Tamandua tetradactyla: one gene and its partner. The protein of the gene in region 2 interacts with the protein of the main gene of each other region in a pairwise test. Links are inferred from orthologs where the notes say so. Each region holds a gene or a part of one and is shown on either strand. Other genes may lie near its edges.

Evidence for each region.
Region 1: the proteins of EML1 (region 2) and ISG20L2 interact in binary tests that used the Homo sapiens proteins (3 or more experiments, as listed by UniProt). The two-hybrid records come from large-scale screens. The link is inferred for Tamandua tetradactyla from reciprocal best matches to the Homo sapiens genes EML1 and ISG20L2.

The regions. Positions count from the first base shown.
Region 1 is NC_135330.1:9,717,934-9,726,163, forward strand, and holds the start of ISG20L2 (interferon-stimulated 20 kDa exonuclease-like 2), read right to left. Parts: upstream 3,234-8,230; 5' UTR 3,102-3,233; intron 3,101-3,101; exon of another isoform or gene 3,019-3,100; intron 2,471-3,018; 5' UTR 2,354-2,470; coding exon 1,616-2,353; intron 136-1,615; coding exon 1-135. Other genes in the region: METTL25B (methyltransferase-like protein 25B), read left to right, coding at 3,638-3,916, 5,929-6,053, 6,203-6,395, 6,882-6,944, 7,154-7,297, 7,730-8,214. UniProt on the Homo sapiens protein: 3'-> 5'-exoribonuclease involved in ribosome biogenesis in the processing of the 12S pre-rRNA. Displays a strong specificity for a 3'-end containing a free hydroxyl group.
Region 2 is NC_135338.1:61,048,433-61,056,462, reverse strand, and holds the start of EML1 (echinoderm microtubule-associated protein-like 1), read right to left. Parts: upstream 3,135-8,030; 5' UTR 3,078-3,134; coding exon 3,011-3,077; intron 1-3,010. UniProt on the Homo sapiens protein: Modulates the assembly and organization of the microtubule cytoskeleton, and probably plays a role in regulating the orientation of the mitotic spindle and the orientation of the plane of cell division.

The DNA of each region.
Region 1 (8,230 bases), on a different chromosome or scaffold from region 2:
GTCGGCTTTACGGTTGAGAGGGGGGATGTGGGAGGTGTCACGGGTGAGGGACTTGGGATGAAAGTACTGAAGAGCTTTGAAGTCGTTGTGGATGGCGTGCCCCACCACTATCTTCCCTGCCAGTATCTTCAAGATCTGAAATAGGCATGGCAGAGGGGGCGGTGAGGAGGAATCAAAAGTGGAGCTCCTGTGTCCTAAAAGCCCAACGCAGTCCAGAGTTCTTTCCACTTACTGCCCACGTGCCCCATCCTTGAAATGCCCATTCTCCCGTAAGTTTTCTTTCCCCCCAAACCCACTCCCTCTATTTCAGACAAGTAAGTAATTTCCATAGTGTAACCTCGTGAGAACATGTATCACCAGTGCCTCCTTACCTTCCTATTAGTGTCTACTCTAATGTCAAATTAATTTGATTTCAGCCCTAAATCACACTTGCATTTGAGATGTTCATGTAACTAGTTCAGTTCTGGTTTGCTGCTTGGTCCCGTACAAGCCCTTTAACCATTATTACTGTGCTGGCCTTAGACATGTGGCTGGACCCTGAGAGTCAAAGATGGGCTCCAAAGAGGTGACAGAAGCTCCAGATTGTATGCAAATGGGTATGCATATGGGTTCACTCTCCACCACTACCCTTAGTTCGTATTAACCTCAACACACAGCTCGCATTAAAGCTAAGAGGATCTGCTGTTTCAGACCCACCCCATATTCTGCCCCTCTCGAGCCTGTGCCTAAACTGTGCCCCTTGTGCAAAGGACTTTCTTCATTGCTTCCTTCCAAGTCCTTCCTAAAAAACTGGCAATCCACCTCTGATGAATCCCCCAACAATTGACCATATTGTGGAAATAAAAGGAATTCTTGGAACAGTGTTGTCTAGGAATGGCAAAAAAGTAGAGCTGAAATTGCAAAACAGTGGACCAAGGGTGCCCTCTGGAGGCCTCCAAAGGTCGGCAGGCTCTCCTTTCTCCTTGCTCTCTTCCTCTCTCCACTTCCTCCTTTCCCCTCTCCTCCCTCACTCTCCTTTCCTGTTCATTTGTTGTGATCCCAGCATTCAGCACAGGACTAGAATGAGTAGGTTTGATCAATGAATGAGATGAGAACCCAGACACAACCAGCCCTCTATATCTCTTTATCACAGCCCTCCTATTCCAGTTATATAAATATGCCTCAGTGTTTTCTCAACTTTCTGCCCTCTCCTACCACCAATACTTTGCTCAGGCTACTTCTTGCTTGGAAGCCTTCTCTACCTCTCTGCTCGTAAGCACAGGCACAAACTCTATAAGGTATTTCCGAGTTCAGCCCTCTCCCCAGCACTCGTGCTGCTGTTCTGTCCAGTTACATCAGTGGCTGTTACTTCTCTATGCAGATTTCCGGTTTCCCAAATCAGGAACCTACTTGGCACCTAAAATAGGTGCAGGCTAATGAAGTCTGCTACATCACCTAATTCTAAACTTCCTGCCTTTCACCTTACCCCAACAGGAGCCTTAATCATCTAATATCCCCCTCCCAACCTTCCCAATCCTTTTGATATCTTCCCAAGGTGATATATCCTTTGCCAGAAAAATGACACGGACCTTCCCCTACCCACGTTACTGCCACCAGCATGCCCCATGTCCCTCACCTGGCTCCGAGCAATCTTGAAGGGTGTGGCATTCGCCATGTGCTGCTTCCGGATACCACTCCATCTGGTCCTGTAGTCCACAATGCGACAGGGGGGAAGGACGTATTCGTCATAAAGCACATCTCCATTGTAGTTGACAATACTACATCGCGCTAAAGAACTGACATGCCCCTTGGGTCCTGTGCCCACCATCTCACAGTCAATTGCCACCATCTTTCTTGGTATTTTCTGGGATGCTCCAGTGCATTTACTCTCTGAGTGTGCTTGAGTGGAATCCTTCTGTGGACCATTCTTCTGAGGAGGGTTCTTCTGGGGGCCCTTCTTCTGGGAGCGAGCTGAGCGGCTCTTAACCTTTGGAAGGGCGCTCTGGAACTCCCCCAGCAAATCTACTTTAGCTACAACAGATCCAGGCTTCTGTAAAGGGGCTGGGGTCAGCCAAGACACTGTGGCTTTCTTGTCCAGGGACTGCTCTGACTCACTGCTGGACACAGTTTTCTTCTTCTTTTTTGGGATGGGAGGACCCTTCCAAGTGCCATCTACCCTAGGAGCTTCCCCTTTCTTTGGAGGTTCTGAGTGCAACCTAGGATTCTTGCTAGGGGGCTGGTTCTTCTTATTCAAAAAGCCTCTCCGTTCCAAGAGCCGCCGCTTCTTGACAAAATTTCGGTGCTTGGCATTCCCCTCTAATGTCTTTTTGGGGGGAGGTTCCCCAAAATCCAGATTTAGAAGTAAGGTAGACATGAAGACAGTAGATGGTGGGAAAGCAGTTGGGGAGAGTGGCTTATGGATGAAAGGAGGATGTGGGACTCATTCTCTGCTGAATCCCCAAAACCAACATCTGGAAGTTTGTAGTATACCCTGGGGAAGAAAGTTACCCTGATAATCGAGCCCATAAACCTGGGAGAAGAATAAGAAAAGACAGATCTCCGTAGGACTTAAGGAAGAAGTTAAGATAGCAGAGCAACCTCCCAGGTAGAAGAGGAATGAGATGCAAAGGGAATTAACGAACGGAGCACACTGCTCTGAGTTGGGAGCCGCATGGTCTTAGGAGGGTCGTTCCCTCTCTAAGTCTCAGCCTCATTTGTTAACCGAAAGGGCTGGGGAGCCCGTGGAGCTCGAACTCTCTGTGAGTCTGGAATACCAGAATAGTTGAGTTTTATAAAGATTTATCCAGGGAGGGTACTATAAATATGCTCAAACGCAGGGACGGGCATGGCACAGATGACCTCTAGGTTATCTAGACATCCCCGGGTTCCACCAATAGAAATACAAATCCAGGTACCCCTTTCTCTTAGCTCCAGGTGGGGGGAGTCTCCAATACATCTCATCCAAATCCTTCTCCCAAGAAGGGGCCACTTATCAGCGGGGGGGAGGAGCGGAGGGAAATTCAGGCTCGGTGAGCCCACCTCGGCGAAAGCACTTTGATTCTCGCCACGGAGATCGTTTCCCCAACACACCCAGGCCGGGACCAATGCTCCAACAAACCTACCTTCAGGGTGTGCGCTGTTAAGACCGGAAGCGCCCGGAGCCGGATGCGGAAACTGGCGCCCGTCGACGAGGGCCGGGACGGAAGGCGCGCGGGTTGGAACGCGCTGGCGGCCGGCGCGCGCGCGCCCGCAGAGCCCCTACCTCGGGGAGCGAAGTTAGGGATTCCGAGTGTGTGAGGAGCGGCAGCGGCGCCGGTGGGGGGGGCGGGGTGGGTGGGGGCGGGGGCGGGATGCGCTCCCCGGCCCCTCTAGCCCCGTGGAGGTACAACTCGAAGGTGCGGGGAAGCCGCGACAAACCAGAACGGAAGCGCGCCGAGACGTGACCTTACTTCCGGGAGGGGAGGGGCGTGTACAGGAAGGCGCGCGATCTGGAACTTGGCCCGCCCCCTTCGTGGGCGTGGCTCCGCCGCAAGCCTCTGTGGCGTCAGTCCTCTGTCAGCCTGCCCCTCCTGTCTCACGACGCTGACATCTCAGCGCTGTGAGAAGTTGCGATCTATGACGTCAAGGGGGTGCCTCATATCTTCAGCCCCAGCCTGAGATGCCGGAAAGGCAGCGTTGGGGGCCAGACCCCAAACCTTTTCTTCCCGTGCCCCCCGCAGAGTTTAATCCAGCCCGCGTCTTGGACCTGCGTGGTGGTGACCTTGGATCCTTCGGCGCGATCTCGCTGCCCTCTCGACCGGCAGGAGCCCCGGATGCCGGGCGTCTCTGCCCGCGGCCTCTCTCTCGAGGCGAGGAGGCGGCTAGCTGTGAACCTCACCCGTGTCCTGGCGCTCTACCGCTCCATCCTGGACGCCTACATCATCGTGAGGCCGCAGGGGTGTGGGGGGTGCTCCCGGGGCAAGTACTGGGTGTGTGATCGCTTAGGTGCCCACGGCAGGGAGAGAATCCGGAGTTGGCCCTGAGCACTTTTCTTATATGAATTTTAGTCTTCTGTGTCTACGAAAAGGGTTAAAATTGGGTTGGTTCTTCCACCCCCACTCCCATTTTTTTTCATCTGCTGCAAATATTAATATTTCTGATACGTAGGTGGTTTTCTAATTTTCCCAAATCAAGGTGAATAAACGCATAGACATGTGAGCCGTATTGCAGTCACATTGAACTCCCATTCTAGGAACATGTGAGGTGTTTCTAGAACACGTATGTTCACCCAGTTCTGACTGACCTCGTGTGTTTGTGTTGTGGACAGTTTCAGCTTGCAATCAGACAGACTGGACTAGAATCCTCCCCTTCTGTGTTTGCCTTAAAACAAGATTGTTTTTACAAATCTCCCTCTTCCTGGTTTCCTCAGCTGTAAAATGGATCTCTGTCTGAAGGGAAGAATAAGTCATTGTGACGAATAAATTAGATAATGTGTAAATGGCACCAGTATCCACTGAAATATTCAGACCCAGAAGTCATCCTTGATTCCACTCTTTCCTTAGCTTGATCCCCAGTTAAATCATTCAGCAAGTCCTGTTGCCTCTACCTCCAGAATAGATAATAGATTTATCCACTTCTCTTCCTCTCCGGTGCTACCACCCTGGGTCAAACCACTGCCTCTGCTCTAAACGACTACAATAGCTAACAGATCTGGGTTTAGCTCTGGCCCTCTATTACCAAATTTCCAGAGCCACCAGATTGATCTCTATCATGTAAACCTGAACATGATTACTCACCTTGCTTCCTGGGTGCTTTGTGTAAAGTCCTAATCCTTATATATAAGGTAAAGCCCTACTTGATCTGGCTCCTGCTGCCTCTTCAGTCCCTTCACATTTCATTCTCTCCCATGTTCACTGTGCCACACCTACACTGGCTTGCTTCCTGTTCCACACAGATTGTAGGCTTCCAGGCCTCCACACTTACTGCTCAGACTGGAACGGCTCTTTCAAGAGAGAGGCAATAGAGCAGAATGGATAAGAGCAAGGTCTCTAGAGTTGTACGGCTTTCAAAATTGGCTCAGCTACTTAGAATCTCTTGACTTGGGCCAGTTAATAGCTGTGCATCAGTTTCCTTATCTGTAAAATGGGGGATAACAACAGTACCTACCTCATACGGTTGCTCTAGAGATTGAATGTATAAATTCATCTAAAATGTCTAGAACAGTGCCTGGCAGATTAAAGTATTACATCAGTTTTGCTATTACCTGTATTTTTTTTATATGCCTGATTCGTGTCTGTCATTCAAGATTGAGTTCATATGTCACCTCCTCTGACAAGTCTTCCCTCATCACGCTATCTAAAATAGTCATCTCTCAGATCCTCCACTACTGTTTCATTAGCGTTTTATTGTTTGTGGCATTTGATATCTGAAAAAAAAAATTGTTTTAATGTAAACCCCACGAGAGCAGGAGCATCATCTCTGGTTCAGGGCTGTATCCCAAGCCTGGAACAGTAATTTGTGTGCCCCAGAATTTGTGTTAACCAAATGAATGAATAAACACACTTGATGTCTGGCACAAATAATGATAGGTTACTAAATGGTAACATACTATTGTCTGTCAGTCACTGTGGGGATGCAGACGTGAACAAGACACCATTCTTGCTGTTAAGAAGTGCAGTTGAGTAGAGAAAACAAGTCATAGATAAGTGAGGAGATTTCTAAACAGAGAGGTTTGTCCAGAATGCAGTCTGGGCACAGAGGAAGAAGTCAACCACCTGGGAACTGTGGGAGGCTGGAGCAGACTTCAGAGAAGAGGTCTCAAGGATGAGTACAAGATACTTGCTGGTTGCAGCCAGTGGCCCTGTGTAGCAACAGTGCTGGGAAAAGCCAGGAGACAAGATGGGAGCTGTGAGTCGGGTGGCGTAGAATGGGAATGGTAGTGGTCTGCTGATGGCTTTTCCCCTTTTGCAGGAATTTTTCACTGACAACTTGTGGGGCACACTCCCTTGTTCATGGCAGGAAGCACTGGATGGACTGAACCCACCACAGCTGGCCACGATGTTGCTGGGGATGCCTGGGGAAGGGGAGGTGGTCAGGTATGGGTGAGAACTCAGGGCACTGAGCCTTGTAGCTAGCCATTGCTCAGAGAATCGCACAAGGGCTTTCTCGGTCCCCTGGGTTGTAAATTGCTGCACTCAGGGTGTGATGGGACTCTTCATTGTTGGCCTGGGCCGGGCTATCTCAGGTACAGGTCAGTGTGGCCACTCACCCTGCTGGCCCTGAAGTCCACAGCCTTTGCCCTGGCCTTTACCCGGACTCCTGGGTTCCAGACACCTTCAGAATTCCTGGAGAACCCCAGCCAGAGCTCCCGACTGACAGCTCCCTTCCGGAAACATGTCAGGCCCAAGAAGCAACATGAGATCCGAAGGCTGGGAGAGGTGAAGAAATGGCTGGGCATATAGGTGGTATCTGGGAGTCCTGGGGTACAAAATTACATGTTCCTTACCTCACATGCAGGACCAGAGTTCCTAGAAGCCCCCTTCCTTGGTAGACCTACTATATAATCATATTTCCATGCTCCTTTTTTCTTTTCCCCCACCTCTTTCTGGGTTGGTCAGTGGCTATGTCTGAATAACAATCTTATTCCTCTTCTCATATGTCCACAACCTGCTCATGGATTCACAGCAGGGCTCTTCCTCATTTATGAGGGAGGGTGACTCACTAACCTGAGAGGAGTAAGGAGAGTAGCCTGCACCTGGGGTCAGCACCCATTCTCCCCTCGCCCATTTTGCTTTCCGTATCTGTTGCCTCTTCGGTGGCTCTCTCTGTCCATCTTCCTCTGCCATCTTCAGTTCCTTTACTTTCATTACGGGGGTTTTCCCTGGGAATCAAGAACAAATGGCCAGGAGTCCCTCCTTTTTCAGTTGGTGAAGAAGCTGAGTGACCTCACAGGCTGCACCCAGGTTGTGGATGTAGGCTCAGGCCAGGTGAGCCAGACCTCTTATATACTGTTCTTTTGAGTTGTGGGGGACAGAACAGCTGGAAGGGAGAGGCTGTCAGGCCTACAGGCCAGGGAGGCAAATGCTGAGAATGGTGGAACCAGGCAGGACAGAATTTAAGCCTTCAGTGGGTCCAAAGGGGGGTGATAGTCGAATAGGCACTAAACAGGGTTGTCTCTACCCTCTCGTGACTTCAGGGCCATCTCTCCCGCTTCATGTCTTTGGGACTGGGGCTTTTGGTGAAGAGCATTGAAGGAGATCAGAGACTGGTGGAGAGAGCCCAGCGGCTGGATGAAGCGCTCCTGCAGGCTCTGGAGAAAGAGGAGAAGAGGAACCCAAAGGTAAGCCACTCCCTCCTGCAGCCAGGACTTTAAGAATAGGGTCTGCTTGGCTGTAATTGGGCACCAAGGCTGAATTCTCTTTCAGGTTTCTCGGTTTGAGATGGTATGGCCCCTGTATCTGCTCCCTCTTCCCCAGGTCCCCTCTTCCCCAAAGCCATTCCATATCTCACAGGCACTCACTAGGTTACAAAGTGCTTTCCACACGGATACATCCTGTGAATGGAGATCAAAATGAAGTTTTGCAAAGTTAACAATTGGTAGGATCCAGAATTTATCCCATCTCCTCATTCATGGTCCAGCTCTCTGCTATGCCCCAGCTTCTCTGCCATGTTCCTCCTTGGGAGGAAACACAGGACAGATCCTTTCCTGTGGCCTGAGTGGCATGGGGACAGCAGACTTCCCATCTGCCCTTGTCCTTTCTTGCCTCCACAGGTGGTTCAAGCTGGCCCTCGCCACCCTCCACACCACATGGTTAGGTGGGTGGACCCCACAGCCCTGTGTGAGGAGCTCCTGCTTCCACTGGAGCCCCTGCCTCAGGGTGGGGCCCGCTTGCTGCTGGCAGGCCTCCATGCCTGTGGGGATCTGAGTGTCGCCTTGCTGAGGCACTTCTCCTGCTGCTCTGAGGTTGCAGCCCTGGCCTCCGTGGGCTGCTGCTACATGAAGCTGAGTGACCCTGGTGGCTACCCACTGAGCCACTGGGTAGCTGGGCTGCCTGGCTGTGAACTGCCCTACAGGCTGCGGGAGGGGGCCTGCCATGCTCTAGAGGAATATGCTGAGCGGCTACAGAAAGCAGGCCCCAGCCTCCGAACCCACTGCTATCGTGCAGCACTGGAGACGGTGATCCGCCGTGCCCGGCCCGAGCTCCGACGGCCAGGCGTGCAGGGGATCCCCAGGGTCCACGAGCTCAAGATTGAAGAGTGAGGTTGGGGGTGG
Region 2 (8,030 bases):
AGGGGAGTGACCACTAATGGTAACAGAGTTTCTTTGCGGGGTAATGAAATATTCAAAAATTAGATAGTGCTGATGCTTGCACAATTCTGTGAATTTACTAAAAGTCACTTAATTGTATACTTTAAAATAAATACCATATAACAGATACAAAGATATTTATATATAGTACATATAAAAATTCAGAATGGCATCCAAATTCTTTGGACCTCATTTTTCCAATGGGCAAGGGGAGAAGAAACAAAGCTGACCCCAAGGAAGGGTTATAAATGACAGTTCTCGTCCTCTTTTCCATTACTGTAGTTTTTCTGACAGCATAAGAAGTTCGTGACTTCTAGCTCACTTTACAGAGTTTTAAATACTTAGAAGGAAAAACATTGCACAAATTTTCCAGTAACGGGATGAGAACGAACAGCCTTTTCAGAAGTCTCGATATTGCCTAACTTTTCATTTATACTTTTGCAAAAAATCTCTTTTAAATAACCAGAATTAAACAATAAGATCACTTTTCATACAAATGAAGTAGGAGAGAGGGCAAGAAGACAATATAAGAAGATAGAAAGTTCATTCATTAGAGCAGTTATCTCTTTCTCCCTTCTCATTTATACCCTATCTCCTATCTTTATCCCAGTAGATGGAATTAAACTGTAACTGTCATCCAAATAACAAGCATGGATTAAATTTTCTGAAGCTAGCTGAAAGATCTAACTAGGTCTTTTTTAGTTTCTCTCAATATCAAAAGCAAGGAGCATGTTCAACTAAGATAATGTCTGAGTTTATATGTTATGCTGTTGTATCTTGCCATTGTAATGCAAATCTCTATTTAAAAAGAAAAAAGTCCAACGTAGCTAATGAAATATCCAAATGTTTAATTTAGTCATTGTGAATGCCATTTCTGTGTTCCACTATTTTCACTGTATCATCATACTAATTAACTGAATTGTATTCATGTATACTTTACTTAAATGGAGGTCTCTTAAAATGAACAATTTTACATCAAAACATCTGTTGCCTAAGACATCATCAGTTAGCATTCATTTCTGTCCCACCGTAATCTACTCTTCCTCTGAATTTACTTCTTAAAAAATAATAAACACAGCTAAGGGTTTTTTGAGAAAAGTAATTCAACAGTTATAATTCACTTGTGTTCTGAAGTGATCTTACTGCTTAATTCTAGTTATTTAAAAGAGATTTTCTCAACACTGTTACCTAGACAATACATAAGAGCTGGTTTTTACTTTCTTCTAGACACCATTATCAGTTATATACCATAATATGTCTGAACTAGCAACTCATTGGAAATGGCTGAAACAATTCATGAACAGATGTGGAGGTCAACTTTGTGACTGAATTGCTATTTACGAACAATATGACCAGGCCCCAAAACAACTGCTAAAACAAAAATATCTAGGTTCGTTTTCATATCCCAGGTCAAACGGTCAATGATATGACCACATATTGATTTTTTAATATCTTTATGCCTGGAAGTCATTTCATACATCTTTTACCACCAACACAGGGAAAATTTTTATCATAAGCTGTAATGAGGACAGATCTACTTAACTTGTAGATCAAAACTACCAATTCAAGTATGACTGATTACAAGTCAGTTAAGAAAACTACTCAAAATTTAATTGAGGTATTTATTCAACCTACAGGCTGTATATTATAAAGTGTTCCAGAAGCCTGCAGAGTGCCAAATACTTCCTACCTGCCATCAACCCCTTCTGAGGCTCAAAACTCTGCTCTAGGAAATTGTGGTTAAGTTTGGAGAAAGTAAAAACTTTCTTTCATTCCTCCGAAAGGGGCATTACTAAGTTAATGAAGGTCCACATGTTGTTAATATGAAAATTATAAGCTATAAAAACTACCAGAATATACACTCTGCCACGAAAGAGAAAATCACTTTGGCTAGTGTTCGAAATACCACTACAGAGATGAAGCAACACACTCAGTACTCTTTACTGCTACAGCTAAGGTCTCCTGTTTGCAAACAGGTGTTGAATAACGAGAAAAGTTTCCCCAAATCACAATTACAATTGCAAAAGAAATTGCGGGAGCTGTCAGAGTCTAGAATTCAAAATTACCCCGACTGCACTTATAGACAAATTCTATAAAATACATTTTATTTTTCTCTAACAAACTTTCGGGTTCCTTTGACGAAGCAATATATCCAATATATAAAATGTATGCTTAACTTCGTGCATGAATTATTAGGCATCATGTTCTGATAAAACATGCAGTGTGCTGTGGAACTCTTTCTCAACCTCGCAAAATGAGACTAAAATCTTTCAAGCATAAAGGATTTTATATTTTTAAAAGATGCCATATTAGTAGCTATTAATGTTTCTTTCCTGTAAAAACAAAAAAACGCAGAAAAATCTATAACCCAGTAAACAAAATAAACGACCATACTTTGAAGCCAGGTCCACTTTGCCTTTCCATTTACAAAGATCTGGAGTGCATTAAACTGTGATCGCGCAATTAAAGTAAATCTGAACGGATTCTGAGGGTCTACCAGCAACAAACACTGCGTGCATCCTCGTAGGAGTGCTCTGTGATTAAGTGATTTGTTTTCGAGTTCCTCATCCAGTAATTTCCGAAGAGATGTGAGTTTGCAAGCAGAAAAGCAACACGTTCCCCTGGAACCCCGAGGCTGCCCGGGCCTCTCCGGCTCCCTCCGCTCCCCGTCTTGGTCCGCTCGCCGGCTCTCGTCATGGTCAGCTCGGGAGTCCGTGCGGCAACCGGCCCGAGCCGCGGGCGATGGATGGGAGCGACCGCCGCCCGACTCCGCTCGGCTCCGGCCGGGGGCGAGGCGCGGCCCCGCAGCCCCAGCACAATGCGCCAGAGGCGGCGGGAACTGCGCGCCCCTCAGGAGCAAGTTTGCGCGGCCTCGCCCGCGGCCGCCGGGCCTCGGCCCCTCAGCTCGGCCCCCGCCTGCCCCGCTCTCCCGCCCCGGCCGCCGCCGCCCCGGCCCCGCGGCCCGCGGCCCTCCCGCGCGGCCGCCCCTCACCGTTGCAGAATTGGAGCAACGAAGACGTGTCATAAAGGCTGCTGTAGCTCGAGAAGCCGTCCTCCATGCTGAGGCCGCCGGCAGCGCCCGCTCCCCGGTTCGGCCGCGCCGCCGCTGCTCACCCACACACTAAGCCCGGGCCCGAGCCGCGGCCGGCGCTGGCGCTGGGGCCGGCCCTGCTGTGGCGGCGGCTGCTGCCGGTCACCATGGCAACCCCGGGCCCGCCGCCGCCGCCGCCGCCACGGACCCGCGCCGACACTGCCCGCCAGGGGGCGGCCTGAGAGGGCGACCCGGCCCGCTGCCGGGGGAGGCGGGGGACGTGGCGGGGCGTGGTCGCGAGTGGAGGCGGGGGGAACGCGGCCTGGGCCTGCCCTCTCCCCACCCACGGCGCGTCGGGCGGCCTTTCCTCGCCCTCCGAAAGGGCTGGCGGCCCTGACTGGCTGGGATGCTACGGGAGCGCGCGCTCTCGGCCAGGCTCGCCTGCCCCCCCAGGACCGCAGGGTGCGGGGGTACGGGGCGGCCGTCTCCTCAGGAGGACGACGGCGCGGGGACGCTCGGCGTCCCGCGAGGCGTGAGGGCCGAAGGGACAAAGGGAGAGGCCCGGAGAGCAGCGGCGGCGCTGATGGGGCGAGAGGTACACGAGGTCCACGGTCCGGGTGATGCAGCGGACGGGCGAGGACCCCCGGGCTGGCCTGGAGGTAGGGCGGGGACGCCGCCTAGACCGGCCTCACCGCCGGAACGGCCCCGTTCGCCCGATGTCCCACCTCCTTCACCACACCCTCGCCGGGCGCTGTCCCCGAGCTTGCGGGCAGCTCTAGAACCAAACATGGACAACTTGGGGATCCTTTCCAGCTGTGTTTCCTGCATCTCAGAGCAACTCCACTTTTGGCTCCGTCCTACGGGACGCCCCCCTCTTAACGCACGTTTCCCAAAGGTCCTGCCTAGAGTGATAGAGCTTGTCACTCCACTTGAGCCATTGTTTGCCACCGGGAAAAGATGCTGCTTTCCACTTCAAAAGATGCAGTCCTAATATTAGGTTGGAAACTGCTGCGTTTAAAGGCACCATCGCCGAAGCACATCGAGTTAAAACTCCACTCAATTCTTTTTCCCCCCTAGGATCAAACTCTAGAACGCAGCTGTGCTTTCACGTCATGGACTGTTAACCTGTGACATGACCTATGAAAATTGGTATTTTTTGCTACCTCAGGAAGAGGCAAAGACATAGGACAAAATAATTTAGGAGAAACACACAAATCCATGAATTTTTAACTTTTCCAGCCCACACAATACAGCCCATACAAATATGGGATTAACGATCTGAGTTTCACTATACAGGGCCAGAAGTAAAGACGCTAGAAACTGTGAGGAAAGAGAGAATAGTACATGGATTGGACGTTCTAAGGCAGGAATGGACTGGGTCAAGAAGAGGACTACACAGCATGTATGCAGCTTGTCACACACAGCCGTGATGCAATTCTATGTAATTGTGAGAATAGTTTCAAGTTGTGGGTATTAATTTGTGTGGGTTGAGCACGAGCAGGTGAAATAAGAAGCGAGTAAGAAGTTACTAATAGGAAAACTTCTGGACCTCCCTGAAATCTATAGGCAGAAAGCCACCTGTCTTTCCAGAAGTGCAGCTTAGAAAGCAGTGGGCAGCAGTGCCAGGACCCTGGAGTCCATCACTCTGCGTGTGGCATGTTTAGCATGTGGGTAAATAAGGACTGCTGTTAGATGCTGTAGGCAGAGGAGGAGACTTTCTCCCTGTCCTAGTCAGGGAGATAGGGAGCAAAGCCCAGAAAACAAGAGAGGTGGTTAAGGGAATGAAGGAAATGAGAGCCTTGTGGGTGGAGGCTGAAGGGCTACAGCGGCTGTTGATTTGGGCTGTGACCTCAGTGGATGGGGACAATGGGGAGGACAGTGGTAGTGAACCATGGAGGAAAGAAGGAGCAGGGTTTGCTGATAGGTCAAGAGGGTGGCTTGACCATGAATGAACAGCTCATAAGGCAGACAAGTGGAAAATAGGATAGGACTGAGAGAAAGGGGCCAGATAAGAGAGGACCCCGAGAGCCAGGTGCAGCAGGAAATGGTGGGACCCAAGGAGGTTTTCACACAAGTAAGCAGCATTGAGTCCATGTGGATTACAAGAGCCAGGGCCTGGAGCTGGAGCAGTGCCAAACCAGGCACTGAGAACTCATGATCAGAGGGAAATTGCTGTAGAGCCATGAGGCTGGAAAAGCAGAACATTCAAGAGATGACAGCAAAACTTCCCATCAGAAATACTCTGTAGCAATTGCAAGACTGGCTTGCCAGTGAAAGAAGTGAGATTTGGAAGTTGTCAGTAAAGAGGTTGTAAATGAACTCTCTAAAGAAAAGAGTGGAAAGTCCAACTGGAGCTGGGGCATGCCTTGGAGAAAAAGTAGAGGAGGAAATTCCGAACGAGCAGTCACAGAGGCAGGAGAATCAGCATAGGACATGGTTTCAGAAGCCAGAGCACAGAAAGCTTAGGAGAGGGGGTGTTATAGCAGGATTCACTGCAGGGTTAGTCAAGGAGCATGAGGCTGGGAAAGGCCCTTCTGTCTGGTGGCAGAAGGGCTCCAAGGTAGCTTTAAACAACTTGGTGAGGTGCTGGGAATGGAAACCAGATTCCTGGACATCAAAAGGAGAGCACATAGCGCGGGCCACGGTAGCTCAGCAGGCAGAGTTCTCACTTGCCATGTCGGAGACCTGGCTTCAATTCCTGGTGCCTGCCCATGCAAAAAAAGAAAAAGAAAAAGAAAAAAAGGGAGAACACATAGACATGCATGTTTCAGAATTTTGACAGGGAAAGAAAATGGGGCCAAAAATAGAGGAAAGAGGTGGCTGGAGGATCAGGTAAAGGAAACCCCTGAAGGTGAATCACCTCTGTCTCTGAAGTGAGGGGCAGGTACTGTGGAGAAGAGTAAGATTTAACACCTAGATGGACAGTTGGTCTCTACCCTTTTACGTTTTCCCATTTCCCACCTACTTTGCTTCTATTCCAGTGTTTATGCTCTCTCTACTCCATTTTGCAGTTTTATACTTTAGAATACATTGAATTATTGGTATGAAAAGCTGATGTGTGGCATTCTTGAAGTTGAAAGGGAAACAATCATGAATTAATTATTAAAAGATGGTTCTCTTTAAGAATGTTAAAATTTCTCAATGTTAAAGGTGTGATATTTAATGGCCACAGCTGATAAAGTTTAGGAAATAAAGAAAATTCTGAAGTGGAAAAGGAGAAATATGTTTAAAAGTTCAGCTGTAAAATTGGGCTGGAGATTGTCTTAGATGATTTTATTTCTTCCACTAGCAAAATTATAAATAACACCAGAACTCAGTCTGTGTGCTTTTGAAATGATAAAGATCATTATTACATTCTTAACCCAGAGTATCAAATAGCTCTGTTTTCCCACAATAGTAAAATCTTACTTTAAAAAAGCAAAATTTAGTATAATTATAAGGATATGCATGTTAAGTCAATTAGTTATAATCTACACAGCATTAAAACAGATCTAGGGAGAAAGTTCAAGAAAAGTCTCTGAAAACTTAATTAGCAATGTGTGATTTTTCTGCCCAAACATTTTAACAGACTGTTATTCCATGTCATTTTGAGGTAACTTAGGGCCTGAGTCCAAAAAACACTGTCGTCATAATAAATGATATATACTCTCTAGGACAATATAACCACAGCATTCAGTGGCATTAATAGCAGTGTTCTTATATGTGAAAAAGAGAAAGGAAAAAATGGAGCTCTGTGGCCTTTTTCATAGAGCAATAATTAAAAACTACCCTGAAACGTGAGGCCTTGCACATCTATTGTTTAAGTCAACATTTCTTCTGAAAGGCACTGCATTTGGAACTAGACATACAGCATAGAATACAGTGTTTTCCAAACTGCAGGTGGTCATGAAATCAGTTTAAAGGGTCCCAGTTGGCGCTTTTAAAAATGAAATAGCATAGACAACATAAGAGTGCCTGGAATGTGGCGAGAACAAGTATTTTTACTTGAAATGTTGGTCTTGACTTGAAACGTGTGTATGGTATGGGTGTGATGATTTAGGATGTAAAATGTCTTTCTTCCTGGAAGACACAAGTCTGAGAAACACTCAGATGTAAAATAAATAATCACACAAATGAATGTCTAATTACAAATTTTGGTGAGTGCCAGGGAACAAAGATAAAAGGGAGAATTTCAGATTACACTGGAGGATCTGAATTAGACGAAGGAGTACAAGTAGCAACAAGCACAACAGTGGGCAAGGATCAAGAGAAGTCCACTTCAGGCAAATAGGCTTATTTGAGGAACAAAGGAGATTGGTGCAGCAGGGGTTGGTTAACAAGAGTGGGCAGGGTGGTGACTGGGCACCCCATTTGTGCAGACCCTTGGAGATCCTATTAAAGGTTTCCAACTTTATTCTAAGGACAAAGAGAAGCTGAACTTTCATTAGTACAAAATCTCAAAGTCAAGAGTTGATTTTTCCATGAAATCAGTACATGAGTCGTTATTGATATTAAAATGTAAAACATACCTCCTTATGCTGTATTAGTTAAACTGCTAGAATACAATATACTAAAAATAGAATGACTTTTAAAAAGGGAATTTAATAAGTTGCATGTTACAATTCTAAGGCTGTGAAAATGTCCAAATTAAGGCACCAACAAGAGATAACTTTCCTCAAGAAAGGCTAATGCTGTCCAGAACTCCTCTATCAGCTAGGAAGGCATGTGGCTGGTGTCTACTGATCCTTGTTCCCAGCTCATTGCTTTCACTTCTGATGCCAGTAGTTTCCTCTCTAAGCGTCTGTGGGCTGTCACTTAGTTCCTCCAGGACACAGTTCTGTGTTCTGGCTTGCTTAGCATCTCATGGGAAGGCACATGGCAATGTCTGTTGAGCTCTACCTGTATCTAGGCATCTGTTCTCTCCAAGTATCTCCAAACATCCGTGTCTCTGTTAGCTCTAAAGCAACTGTTAGCTCCAAGCATCTGCATCTGAAATTTCTTC